Linked DNA regions of Ovis aries. The protein of the gene in region 1 purifies or fractionates together with the protein of each later gene. This does not show direct contact. Links are inferred from orthologs where the notes say so. Each region holds a gene or a part of one and is shown in the gene's direction. Other genes may lie near its edges.

Region 1 (5,811 bases):
AGCTCCCTCTTCCAGGAGGGTCTGGTGATGAGGGTCCCCGCCTTCCTTGAGGTCACCAGCCCTTCTTCCCACAGATCGACCAGCTCAACACCGACCTGAACCTGGAGCGCAGCCACACCCAGAAGAACGAGAACGCAAGGCAGCAGCTGGAGCGCCAGAACAAGGAGCTCAAGGTCAAGCTGCAGGAGATGGAGGGTACCGTCAAGTCCAAGTACAAGGCCTCCATCACTGCCCTGGAGGCCAAGATCGCACAGCTGGAGGAGCAGCTGGACAACGAGACCAAGTGGGTGTCCCTCGCCCGCCACCCAGCACCATCTGCGGGCTTCTCTGTGTGCCCGTCCCTGATGCTGTTTCCCCTGTCCTAAGGGGGGGCTCTCATCTTTTTCCCTGGGGCCTTTTGCTAGGGCTTTAGAGTTTGAAGAGGAACCCATGGCACACTTCTAAAGTTGAGCCTGGTGACTCAGGGCTGAATCAGAGAGAGGTGGTAGTTCCCACTCCCTGGGCAGCCCATCTGTGGGCTCAGCAAGACAAACTTCTTTAGGGGTGAAAAGTGAAAGTCACTCAGTCATGTCCGACTCTTTGCGACCCCATGGATTGTAGCCCACCAGGCTCTTCTGTCCATGGGATTCTCCAGGCACGAATATTGGAGTGGGTTGCTATTCCCTTCTCCAAGGGACCTTCCCAAGCCAGGGATCGAACCCGGGTCTAATGGGCGTCAGTCGTTTTTTTTTTTTTCTAGCTTTATCTGTGCTCTCTGAGATGTGTCACTTCCTTGAGCCTCAGTTTCCTCATCTGTGAAATGGGACCAATCCTAATGCCTTCATAAGAGCATTGATCAAGGCCTCCCTACAGGGGACAGGCCAGTGAGACCCAGATGTGGGTGGCCCAGTTTGTGGGTTTGTCCACCAGACCCTCTGAAAGAGCGGGTGCCCCTGAGCCACTGTGTTTGTGCCTCGCAGGGAGCGCCAGGCAGCCTGCAAGCAGGTGCGTCGGGCCGAGAAGAAGCTGAAGGACGTGCTGCTGCAGGTGGATGACGAGCGGAGGAACGCTGAGCAGTACAAGGACCAGGTGAGCCGGGGCGGAGCAGGGCCCTGCCCCAAGGCAGCTGAGGGCGGGGTGGGCCACTGGCACGTGCAGTCCTGACCTGGGCCCCTGGCCTTGCGTCCCTCCAGGCGGACAAGGCGTCCACCCGCCTGAAGCAGCTCAAGCGGCAGCTGGAGGAGGCGGAGGAGGAGGCCCAGCGGGCCAATGCCTCCCGCCGGAAACTGCAGCGCGAGCTGGAGGATGCCACTGAGACGGCGGATGCCATGAACCGCGAGGTCAGCTCCCTCAAGAACAAGCTCAGGTGAGCCCCGCCAACCGCCCCCCACCCCACTCCCTCACCCACACCCACCCCGCCACGTGACCCTTTCTCTTCCAAAAAGTTCCTTTGTCCTGAAAAGCAGAATTTCATCATGAGGCTGTTGTAAACTCAGTCCCTTTCTCAGCCCTGTCAGTGGGCAGGGCACTTACTGACACCAGAAGGGTGCTTGTCAGAGAGTCCTTCCTGGTTCTCCGGCCTCCTAGGCTGTAGCCCAGCCTTTTGAATAATCTCTCTGGGTGATTGATTCCCATCCTGCCTGAAAAGTCTGTTCCTGTCACGGCCCTTAAGCCCGCTGAGAACGTTTTCAGGTTTTGTGAACTAGAAGTTGCTCAAGGCCACCCAGCCAGTCTCTGGCACAGCTCAGGTCGATCTTCCAACACTGATCAGGTGGAGAGGGCTGATTGGCATTTCTCAAAGGAGTGTCCTGATCAGGCAGTGTGAAATGGTTGAGGCAGAGGGCCTTTTTTGTCGACATTCTCATTGTTGACCTCCTTTTCCCAGGGATCCTTTTTCTTTTTTCAAGCATACAAGCAGCAGTCTAGTCAGTGTGTATGTTGTTGGTTTTCTTATCCGGGACTGGAAGAGATGCCCGTTTGTGTGCACTGCACTGTCGGCCTCTGTCTCATGATCTCACCTGTTTGGTACCAAGTGTGACCAGAGGGTGGTGTTTTGCAGAGGTGGCTCCTGCTGCTCTTGGGCCTCCTTCTGTTGTTGAGTCGCTCTGTCGTGCCTGATTCTTTGCGACCCCATGGACTGCAGTCCAGCAGGCTCCTTTGTGGGATTCTCCAGGCAACAATACTGGAGTGGGTTGCCATTTCCTTCTCCAGGGGATCTTCCCGACCCAGGGATGGAACCCATGTCCCCCATATTTCCTGCATTGGCAGGCGGATTCTTTACCACTGTGCCTCCTTTTAATCAGCCCCTATTACCTGACAATTTTTTGCTGGTGTTTGGGGGTGAGAGCAGGAAGCTTCAGTCACCCCCTTATCGTGAGCCCTCCTGTCCTGCCCCTGAGGCCCCCCGCCCCATTGCTTCTCCCCGTGGGATGTCAGGAGCTAGTCTTCCTCTGATGTTGCTTTGAAACACATGAGCTGTGCTATGGCCGCCTGCCAGCCTTGCTAACCGCTACCTCTGCCCCCAGGCGTGGGGACCTGCCGTTCGTTGTGCCCCGCCGAATGGCCCGGAAAGGTGCCAGTGACTGCTCGGATGATGAGATGGATGGCAAAGCTGACGGGGCAGAGGCCAAAGCCGCCGAGGCCAGAGCTGCCGAGTAACTGGCTCTTCTTCTCCTGCTGCCTGGAGACGGACATCAGCGACTCCGCCTCCCCTCCCCAGCCCCCACAGCACCCCCTCCTCCCTCTGGGGACTGCTGTGACTGTGACCCCACCTTGTCCCCCCAGGCTGGGGACCTCAGGCCCCCCCTCACCACCCCGCCTGTCCCCCAGGCCTCCTTGAGGGCGTTCGGCTTCCTCTGCTGCAGCCCCCTTGCTCCCCTCCACCCCCACCCCGAATCTGATACCAAAGAGTCAGGGTCCTGGGCCCGGGCCCAGGGACAGAGCGACCAGCCGGGTCTCCCGCCTTCTCGCCACAGAGCACAAGACGGTGAGGCGAGGAGGGCAGGAGCAGGCCTCCGGGGATGGGCAAGAGAGTTTTCTATGAATCTATTTTTCTTTAGACTAAGGAGTTTCGCTAGCCCAACGCCCCAGGAAGAGTTGTAACCTCCCCCCCCGCCTCCGCCACCGCCACCAGCTGTCCCCTCTCCCTCCTTTGCTGTTGGCAATCACACTCGGTGACCTCACACCTTCTGCCCCACCGGCCCCCCTGCTCCCGTGGACTCTGGGTGGTCCAACATGAGCAGCCCCAGGGGGTCCACCTCTGTGCAGGGCACAGGATGCCGGGGTTGGGAGGGGAGGGCCTTCCTCCCTACCCCGCTGGGCAGCGCCACTGTCCCCTTCCTGCTTCTCAAATGTCTCAAGTGCAATGATGACCCCTTCCCCTCCTTGGCCCAGGGCAGCCCATCCCTGCCGCAGCGGGGCTGTTGGGCTGAGCAGGCAGGGCCTAGGGGCCAAGCTGGAAAGGCCAGCAGTGGCCTCTCCCAACACTCTTGGGGACCAAATATATTTAATGGTTAATGGACTTGTCCCGAGTCTGACAGCCAGAGCAGTGGGAAGGGCCAGGACTGGGGCCCGAGGGTAGTTGATCAGCACCGTTGACTCCGTATAACTCAAGACGCTGCCGTCTGCACAGACATTTTTAAAAGAAACAGAAAACGTTGTTGTCTTTTCTCCCTCTCACTGTAATTAGTGATGAAATTCCCAGTCTTCATCACTGCCTTTCCTTCAGAAGCACGTCTAGGAGAGAGCAGCTTGTCCTGCACTGGTCTACACTGGTGGCTGGATTTCCTTGTATTCCTAACTATTCTGTATATGCTGCATTTAGACTTACTTATGGCAAAGAAGGCATTTTTTTTTTTTAAGGAAACAAACTCTCAAGAAATCATGAAGATATATTAAAGCTACATATGCCTAAAAAGCTCTGAATTCAGGTCCCAGTTGCTGTCACAAAGGAGTGGACAGAACTCCCACCCCCGCCCTTTTTTTATATAATGAAAGTGCCTTAGCATGGTTGCAGCTGTCACCACTACAGTGAGCTGGTTTACAGATGTTTTCCACTGAGCGTCACAATAAAGAGATCCTTGTGCTACGAGACACGTGTCTGGGGGCTGTCTGTGCACGGGAGCAGGTGGCCTAGAGGGCACTGTATCTGGGCTCCCCTGGAAGGGACTGTGCTTTGCTTCTGCAGCAGGTACCTCCTTTGTGTGATTTCTGGAAGCTTCCAGGAGTGCAGCATGGTTGGGGCCAGGCTTTAATAGGGGGTAGTGGTCATGCAGAAAGGTAGGCTGGCCAGATTCAAGGATGCTACAAGTGTCTTATAAATCTTGATTCCTTTCAGTTACTGAGCATGTACTATGTGTTGGACGCCGAGCTGGCTCAGGGGCTAGAGACGCCAGCTTCTTGAGGTTCCTTAGTCATCAGACAAGGCAAAGCCTGCCCTCTGGAGGTTCGTCCCAGGGGCTGTAGAAGAAGGAATGAGGGAGTTGGTGCCTAAGCCTGTGGGTGCTGGGGCAGAGGCTTTCCAAGGACTGTCAGCTTTTGTTCATTCTTTCAACAAAGGCTGGGTGGAAACCAGGCCCCTCACCAGGCACTGGGAGTGTGAGGGCAGTAAAGACAGATGTCCCTGCAGTTGTGGGTGAGAGGGGAGGGAGAAAAAGGCTCTCCTTAGAGAAGGGATTGGGCTCGCACTTGATTCAAGATGTGGACTCTAGCAGCCTATCTGAATGCAGGCCTCCTCTCCCCCACCAACCCAGGTCACTGTTTGCCCAGCCTGGTTGCTCAGGAGAGGTGCAGGCTCCTAGACTGGATGCTTGCCAGGCCCTCCAACAGCTGACCCGTCCAGCCTCTGAGCAGGTGCACTTTCAGGCCCTGGGAAAGGAGTGGCAGGAGGTGGTGGGAGAGGTGGGTGAGGGCCAGCACTGGAGTCTGGGGCCCTTCTTTCTGTCAGCGGGGGCCACTCCTATAGAAGTTCTGGGGGCCTTCCCCGCCTCTCTCAGCTGGTGGTGCCTGCAGCGTTCCTTGGCTGCGGCTGCACCCCTCCATCCTGCCTCTGTCTCTTTGTGGCCTTCTCCACCTACTCTCTGTTGTCTCTGTGTCTCTTATAGGGATGCTAGTTATTGGATTTAGGTAATCAATGTTGATCTCAAGATATTTCACTCAAAGGATTTTCAGAGACATGTTTCCACCTAAGGTCAATACACAGTTGCAGAGATTAGGTCGTGGACATACTATTTGGGGAGCCACCATTTAACTCAGTACAGGACCCACAAATATTAGTTCTCCCCCTTGAGGTCCTGTGGATTGGCTGTTCACCTTGTGCCTGGGAAGTGCTGGGGGGTGCCCGCCGCTGCACATCAGGAGGAAGGGAGCAGTCGGCTGCTTGACCGCCCACCATGCACAAGCATGAGAGCCCAGGGTCTGCAGATTCCAAAGTCCCTTGTGGAAGGGAGGGGTCCTGGCTCCCTCTCCAGGCATCCACCTGTGTCTGTGTAGCCTAAAGCATGCTAATGCCTCCCCTCATCAAGCCTCTCTTGTTCCCCCTGCTCATCCCTCCTCACTGCTGGCCCCTAAAGTGGACCATCCACCCTGGTCCCTGCAAGTGCTCACCTCTTCATTTGCCTCCACTGAGCAATCAGCTTTCCCAGTGGTTTCTGATTGCTGGCATTAGAGACCTCTTCATCCCTAACTCTGCTCAATTGCTTATTTTTTCCAGAAAATTCCAAATCTTGCATCCAGACTATGGTTATGAACACAAAAGCCGGCTTCTGCACATGGCTGGCAAGTGTCTGGCCCAGTGGTTCTGTGCTGAGAATGTTAATCCAATGTGCTACGTGC
Region 2 (6,023 bases), about 170 Mb from region 1:
TTCTCTTGATGTAAACCTCCAGGTTGAGATTTCCTCCCTGTTAAAGTAGTTAAAAACTAAGGTTAAAAAAAAAAACTAAGATAAGAGGTTTTTTCCCCATTGAGCACTGATCTTGGAAGTAGGAATTGAGGAGTTACAGTGGTTACAACGCTTAGCTTCCACTCACGTGGTATGGATTCGATTCCTGTCAGGGAGCTAAGATCCTGCACGCTATGTAGTTTGGCTGAATAAAAGAATTAGGAATTGAAACGCTGTTAATGTGTGTCTGACCCTGTCAGATCCTGCCCTGACATTAACTGCAGCCAGTGTCTGCAGTCCTGAGTGAAGCTAGCATTATACTGAGCCATCTGACTGAGGACGTCAAGTAAAAACTCAGAAGTTAATGGATAAAAGTTGTCGTAGCAAACCTCAGAGTGAAGTCCTTGACGGGGTCTAGAGCATTTTGTGCTGTGTTCTGCACTCCCCTCTAGGGGCCGAGCTGTGATGAGCCCTCTTCTTCCTCCTAGGCCTTAGATGAGTTTGCCACCAAGCTGATTCAGAACAACCACTACGCGATGGAAGATGTGGCCACCCGGCGAGACGCAGTGAGTGCGCAACTTCCTCACTAGCCTCCTTTCCATCCATGGGTGTCCCTCCCAAGGCAGGTCAGTTAGGGGTGAGAGTGGAGACTCACAGGGGCCCTTGCCTTCCAGCTGCTGAGCCGCCGCAACGCCCTCCATGAGAGAGCCATGTACCGCCGTGCCCAGCTTGCAGATTCCTTCCACTTGCAGCAGTTTTTCCGTGACTCTGATGAGCTCAAGAGTTGGGTCAACGAGAAGATGAAAACAGCCACAGATGAAGCTTATAAAGTAAGATCCTGTTGGCAGTGTCATGTAGCCATTGGTCTGTAAGCCAGACACCACCCTTACAGATAGATGTAGTTAAAGAAAGAGATTGGAAATTTCAAAAACACGCTACTGAATGTAAACTGGCGGTTTCATATGTCCCCTGTGAAGATATGTGTGAGTGCAGTGCAGCGTAACTTGTTGTCCAGTGGTTCGAGAGAGAACCTCTTTCTTGGCAGGACCCATCCAACCTACAAGGGAAAGTGCAGAAGCACCAGGCCTTTGAGGCCGAGCTCTCAGCAAACCAGAGCCGCATCGACGCCTTGGAGAAAGCTGGGCAGAAGCTGATCGACGTTGACCACTATGCCAAGGATGAGGTGGCGACTCGGATGAATGAAGTTATCAGTCTGTGGAAGAAGCTGCTGGAGGCCACGGAGCTGAAAGGTGAGGGGAGGCATGCACGGGGTTGTGGTAGGAGGTTTAGAGAGTTAAATGCTCATCCCTGGTTCCCTGGTTTAGGTACTTGGGCTATCTAGGTGAGCTGCTCCAGGTGACTGGGCACTGGGGCTCACTTCCTGAGGGAGTCAGCTGTGTGGGTGCCTAATGATGTGCAGGGTTGGCGGATGTGACTGTTTACTGGCTGGTCGGGGAGCCTGAGAGAGGAGGGGCTGATTTGGTCAGTGGCCCTGGTTGGCTGGGGCCTCGTCACTAGAACAGGTCAGCTGTGAGCCGAGGGCACCTAACCATTCATCAGCACTTAACCCATGGGGCTCATTCTAGTTCCGCATCTGGAAGGCAGAGCCGAGCTTGCAGTTTTCCTTCACATTGTGATAGACGTGAAGGCGTCACTGAAACCCTGCCCTGTTGTGATCCTTCGAGAGGTGCTGCTGTGTACGGGCAGCACTGGCAGAAGGGTGATACTCACAGACTCAACCTTGCCTCCTTGACCAGGCATAAAGCTCCGTGAGGCTAACCAGCAGCAGCAGTTTAACCGCAATGTTGAGGACATCGAGCTGTGGCTGTACGAAGTGGAAGGTCATCTGGCCTCGGATGACTACGGCAAAGACCTCACCAACGTCCAGAACCTCCAGAAAAAGCATGCCCTGCTGGAGGCTGACGTGGCCGCTCACCAGGTGCAGGCCCTGGACGCGGATGTGGGGCTGTGGGCACGGGAGCGAGAGAGGCTGATCAGCCAAGGCCAACCGGTTCGGGGGTGGGGGATGAAGTGTGTCGATGCCCTAGAGAATCGTGGCTGCACCACTTGGCTTCTGTTCAGGTTGGTCTGCTTGCCCTTGGAGCTTCCTGGGAGCCCAAAATGGGGAAAGGGCGGCTGGAAGCGCACTCCAGAGCGTGGGGAAATGACGATGTGCATTTTCTTGGTGTGAGAGTAAACCACGCCTGAGGCAAGAATGTCAGCCGAGAGATGTCCAGAACGCACTTGGCCGGCCTCAGGCCAGGCTCTCAACACTCTGTCCTTCCCGTCTCCAGGATCGCATCGATGGCATCACTATCCAAGCCCGCCAGTTCCAGGATGCGGGCCACTTTGATGCTGAAAACATCAAGAAGAAGCAGGAGGCCCTGGTAGCTCGCTACGAGGCACTCAAGGAGCCCATGGTTGCCCGGAAGCAGAAGCTGGCCGATTCCCTGCGGTTGCAGCAGCTCTTCCGTGACGTTGAGGATGAGGAGACGTGGATTCGGGAGAAAGAACCTATTGCCGCCTCCACCAACAGAGGTCAGCCTGCCTCTGTCAGACGGAAGTCCAGTTAGGAAAGGGCCTACCCTTACACGGGTCCAGGAGGGGGACCTATGTCCGAATGAGCAAAGTCAGGTTTCAGTTGAACTGGGTTTTTAAGTGAAACTGTGGGGACAGCTGAGAGTGATGGAGTTGACTTTTCTCTTGACTTGGGAGTGGTTTCTCTTTCAGGCAAAGATTTAATTGGAGTCCAGAACCTGCTAAAGAAACACCAAGCGCTACAAGCAGAAATTGCTGGCCACGAGCCCCGCATCAAAGCAGTCACACAGAAGGGGAACGCCATGGTAGAGGAGGGTGAGTGTCGTCAGGAGGTGGCTTTGTTCTCGTTTGTCGTGGCACCTGCCAAGTGCATGGTCGCAGGGCAGGCTGGGCTAGGGGTTGAAGACTGCCCCCCCTACAATCTTCTGACTGTGACCCTGACTAGTCCATAACCTTTCTGAGCCTGAGCTCACCCGCCCCCACCCCCCGCCAACTTCTCAACTTCTCCCACAGTTGAGAAGACTAAGTGAATGAGGTCAGATACTGAGGAGCCTGAGACAGTGCCCAGCAACGAGTCTCCATGACAGAGGGTCAGAGGGGGCTGTGGGTTTTATTGTTAATGATGACATTACTAATGCCAACTAAGGTTGTCTGCTTAGAGTCTAGATAGACATCGTGGTCTGAGGAGATCTGTTAAAGGGTTGGAACCTGGGCCTCATATAAAACTAGGAACATGAAGGGACCTGGCTCCCTGGACATAGTGTCACAGAGGCTGTGAGCGCTCAGAGGACCTTGTTTGTCCCCATGTTTCTCATTGTCCTCCCTCCCCTGCCCGCCCTACAGGCCATTTTGCTGCCGAGGACGTGAAGGCCAAGCTCCATGAACTGAACCAGAAGTGGGAGTCGCTGAAGTCCAAAGCTTCCCAGCGACGGCAGGACCTGGAGGACTCGCTGCAGGCCCAGCAGTACTTCGCTGATGCCAACGAGGCCGAGTCCTGGATGCGGGAGAAGGAGCCCATCGTGGGCAGCACCGACTATGGCAAAGATGAGGACTCTGCCGAGGTGATGCATGCCGGGGGTACTGGGCTCGGGCTGGGGCTGGTTAGGAGGATGACCACGTGTGCAGAGTGCAGTCTCATGGCTTTTAAGGTGTTTCAGCATCTCTTTCCACTTTTCTCTGGTAGTTCTCTTATGTTCACAAAAGAGAGAAGGCAGCCTTGGCCTTTCACTGTTAGCCATGCCCATGTCTCCGATCTTACTTCATTTTTTCTGTATACCTATGTGTACATAAGCACAATTTTTTCTTAGTCATCTTTTTTGAATGGAATTCTTAAATTCTATTCATAAAGATCTAGGTGTAGCCACGTGCCTGCCTTTTCTTGCCTGTCTTCACGTAAACCGTCCTGAGCTGAGTATTGACCCGACCTGATAGGATTTGGAGAAGTAGGAAGCACGGAGGGTGGTGGGAAGGGGGTTCTTGGAGGAGGGCGGCATGTGCCCAGCTGCCACTTAGCAGGAGTGTTGAATTCTCAGGATGGGTGGTGGATCACTGTACATGTGACAGTGTTCTTTATGACTCCTCGTCTGTTTCAAGGGTTGCATAATTATGGATGAAAAGATAATAGAAAACATGATATTTTCTCCACGCTAAGTGTTTATCAAATAAAGGGAGAGAGAGTCATCAAGTCACCAGGTAGCTAAACAGATTTAAGAGGCAGACGGCATGCTGGGGAGGCAGAGGGGCTGCTCTGGCTCCTTGCTCAGGGTCGCTTTGTGTGTGACTTGGATTTCAGGCTCTGCTAAAGAAGCACGAGGCATTGATGTCGGATCTCAGCGCCTATGGCAGCAGCATCCAGGCCCTGCGAGAGCAGGCCCAGTCGTGCCGGGTAAGTGAGGCTTTTCATGTCAGCAGTTGCAAGATCCCAGGGGTTGGGTCGGGGCCAGGGAGCAGGGAGGCCAAAAGACCCAGATGCTGACAGCAGGTGGCATGATCTTGGGTGACGTTCTTTTATTTATGTATTTTTAGCTGTGTTGGTTCTTCATTGCTTCATGGGCTTTCTCTAGTTGCAGAAAGCGGGGGCTACTTTTCGTTGTGGTGCACAGGCTCTAGGGCGTGTGGGCTCAGTAGTTGGGGTGCCCAGGCTCAACAGTTGAGTGCACAGGCTTAGGTTTTCCAAGGCATGTGGGATCTTCCTGGACCAGAGATCAAACCTGTGTCTCCTACATTGGCAGGCAGATTCTTAACCACTGGCCCACCAGGAAAGCCCCCGTAGGTGACTTTCCTGTGGCCTTAAAGGTCCCAGACAGCTGAGCTTCCTGAGTCAGATCTTGTTGGTGGCTTCAGAGGAGAACTGTCACCAGTGTATGTTTGATGGATGTGGGTCTCCTGCTGAGGCTGGGATCTGCAGTGGCTGAGACGGCACTCTGGAGACATCCCATAACTGTGTTTGCCCTTCCTTTGAATTTTTAGCAACAAGTGGCCCCCATGGATGACGAGACTGGGAAGGAGCTGGTCTTGGCGCTCTATGACTATCAGGAGAAGAGTCCCCGAGAGGTCACCATGAAGAAAGGAGACATTCTCACCTTACTCAACAGCACCAACAAGGCAAGCACAGAGGATGACAGGGGGTTGGTTTCCACATATTAGGTGTCTTGGGAGCTTGTCTTTCCAGGATGTGGCTGGTTTAAAACTTAAAGTTACTAGAGTTTCCAGGTCAGTCTCCCATGTCACGTGGGTTTACTGTTTTGCCTGTGATTGAGATGACCAGCCTGTCTCCGTAAATACCTGAGAGCTAGGGTAGTGACCCTTACTCTCAAGGACCACTTCCAAGTGGAATTTTTTTCTCTTTTGAGCTGAAGTCTGCTTCTCTGTCACTGGCACCTGTTGGTTCTAGACTGTAGGGCCGCAGCAGAGGGTTGAAAACAGGCTTCAGCGTCACCCTGTAGGCTCCGCCTCCTCATCTTCTCCAAGTTCAGTGCTGCCTGGTTCATCAGTCTTTCTTAACGCATTCTGATTGGCTATGGCCTTGGAATGAGGCCATCATCTGACGAGCCCCCCCAGGATCCTGCCCCCTGTCTTAGTGTAGGCTGGAGAAGTGTTAGGCACCTCCTCTTCCCAGCCACTCAGCTCACCTGGTCGTGGGACTTTGAGGAAACACTGGCCAGTGTCGGTCTGCTGACTCTAAACCTAAGCTAACTGCCTGGTCTGACTCTGGTTCACTCCAGAGCAGCCTCGCCAGTAGAAGCCACGGTGATGGCAGACTATGTGTCTGTGTTGGCCCCACAGAAGCCACTAGTCACAGGTGACCATGAGGGGCTTCAGAGGTCCCAGAGCATCTGAGGTTTTATTTAATTTCCTGAAGTATGGCTCGAGGCTGCCGTGTTAGCACAGTCCTGGAGCATCTGTGCGAAGAGAAGGTGGCCTTCCTGCTCCAGTAAAGTCATGGCTGCCTCACTCATGACCCTCCC

What was found. Proteins that work in one complex are often made in the same cells at the same time.
Region 2: the proteins of MYH9 (region 1) and SPTAN1 fractionate together in Homo sapiens (co-fractionation; 3 studies listed by BioGRID and IntAct, with this or other methods). This does not show direct contact. The link is inferred for Ovis aries from reciprocal best matches to the Homo sapiens genes MYH9 and SPTAN1.

The regions. Positions count from the first base shown.
Region 1 is NC_056056.1:180,361,607-180,367,417, reverse strand, and holds the end of MYH9 (myosin-9), read left to right. Parts: intron 1-74; coding exon 75-283; intron 284-959; coding exon 960-1,068; intron 1,069-1,172; coding exon 1,173-1,345; intron 1,346-2,504; coding exon 2,505-2,637; 3' UTR 2,638-4,069; downstream 4,070-5,811. UniProt on the Homo sapiens protein: Cellular myosin that appears to play a role in cytokinesis, cell shape, and specialized functions such as secretion and capping. Required for cortical actin clearance prior to oocyte exocytosis. Promotes cell motility in conjunction with S100A4.
Region 2 is NC_056056.1:7,774,199-7,780,221, reverse strand, and holds part of SPTAN1 (spectrin alpha chain, non-erythrocytic 1), read left to right. Parts: intron 1-506; coding exon 507-584; intron 585-692; coding exon 693-848; intron 849-1,063; coding exon 1,064-1,268; intron 1,269-1,775; coding exon 1,776-1,957; intron 1,958-2,312; coding exon 2,313-2,556; intron 2,557-2,748; coding exon 2,749-2,871; intron 2,872-3,399; coding exon 3,400-3,617; intron 3,618-4,348; coding exon 4,349-4,441; intron 4,442-5,025; coding exon 5,026-5,160; intron 5,161-6,023. UniProt on the Homo sapiens protein: Fodrin, which seems to be involved in secretion, interacts with calmodulin in a calcium-dependent manner and is thus candidate for the calcium-dependent movement of the cytoskeleton at the membrane.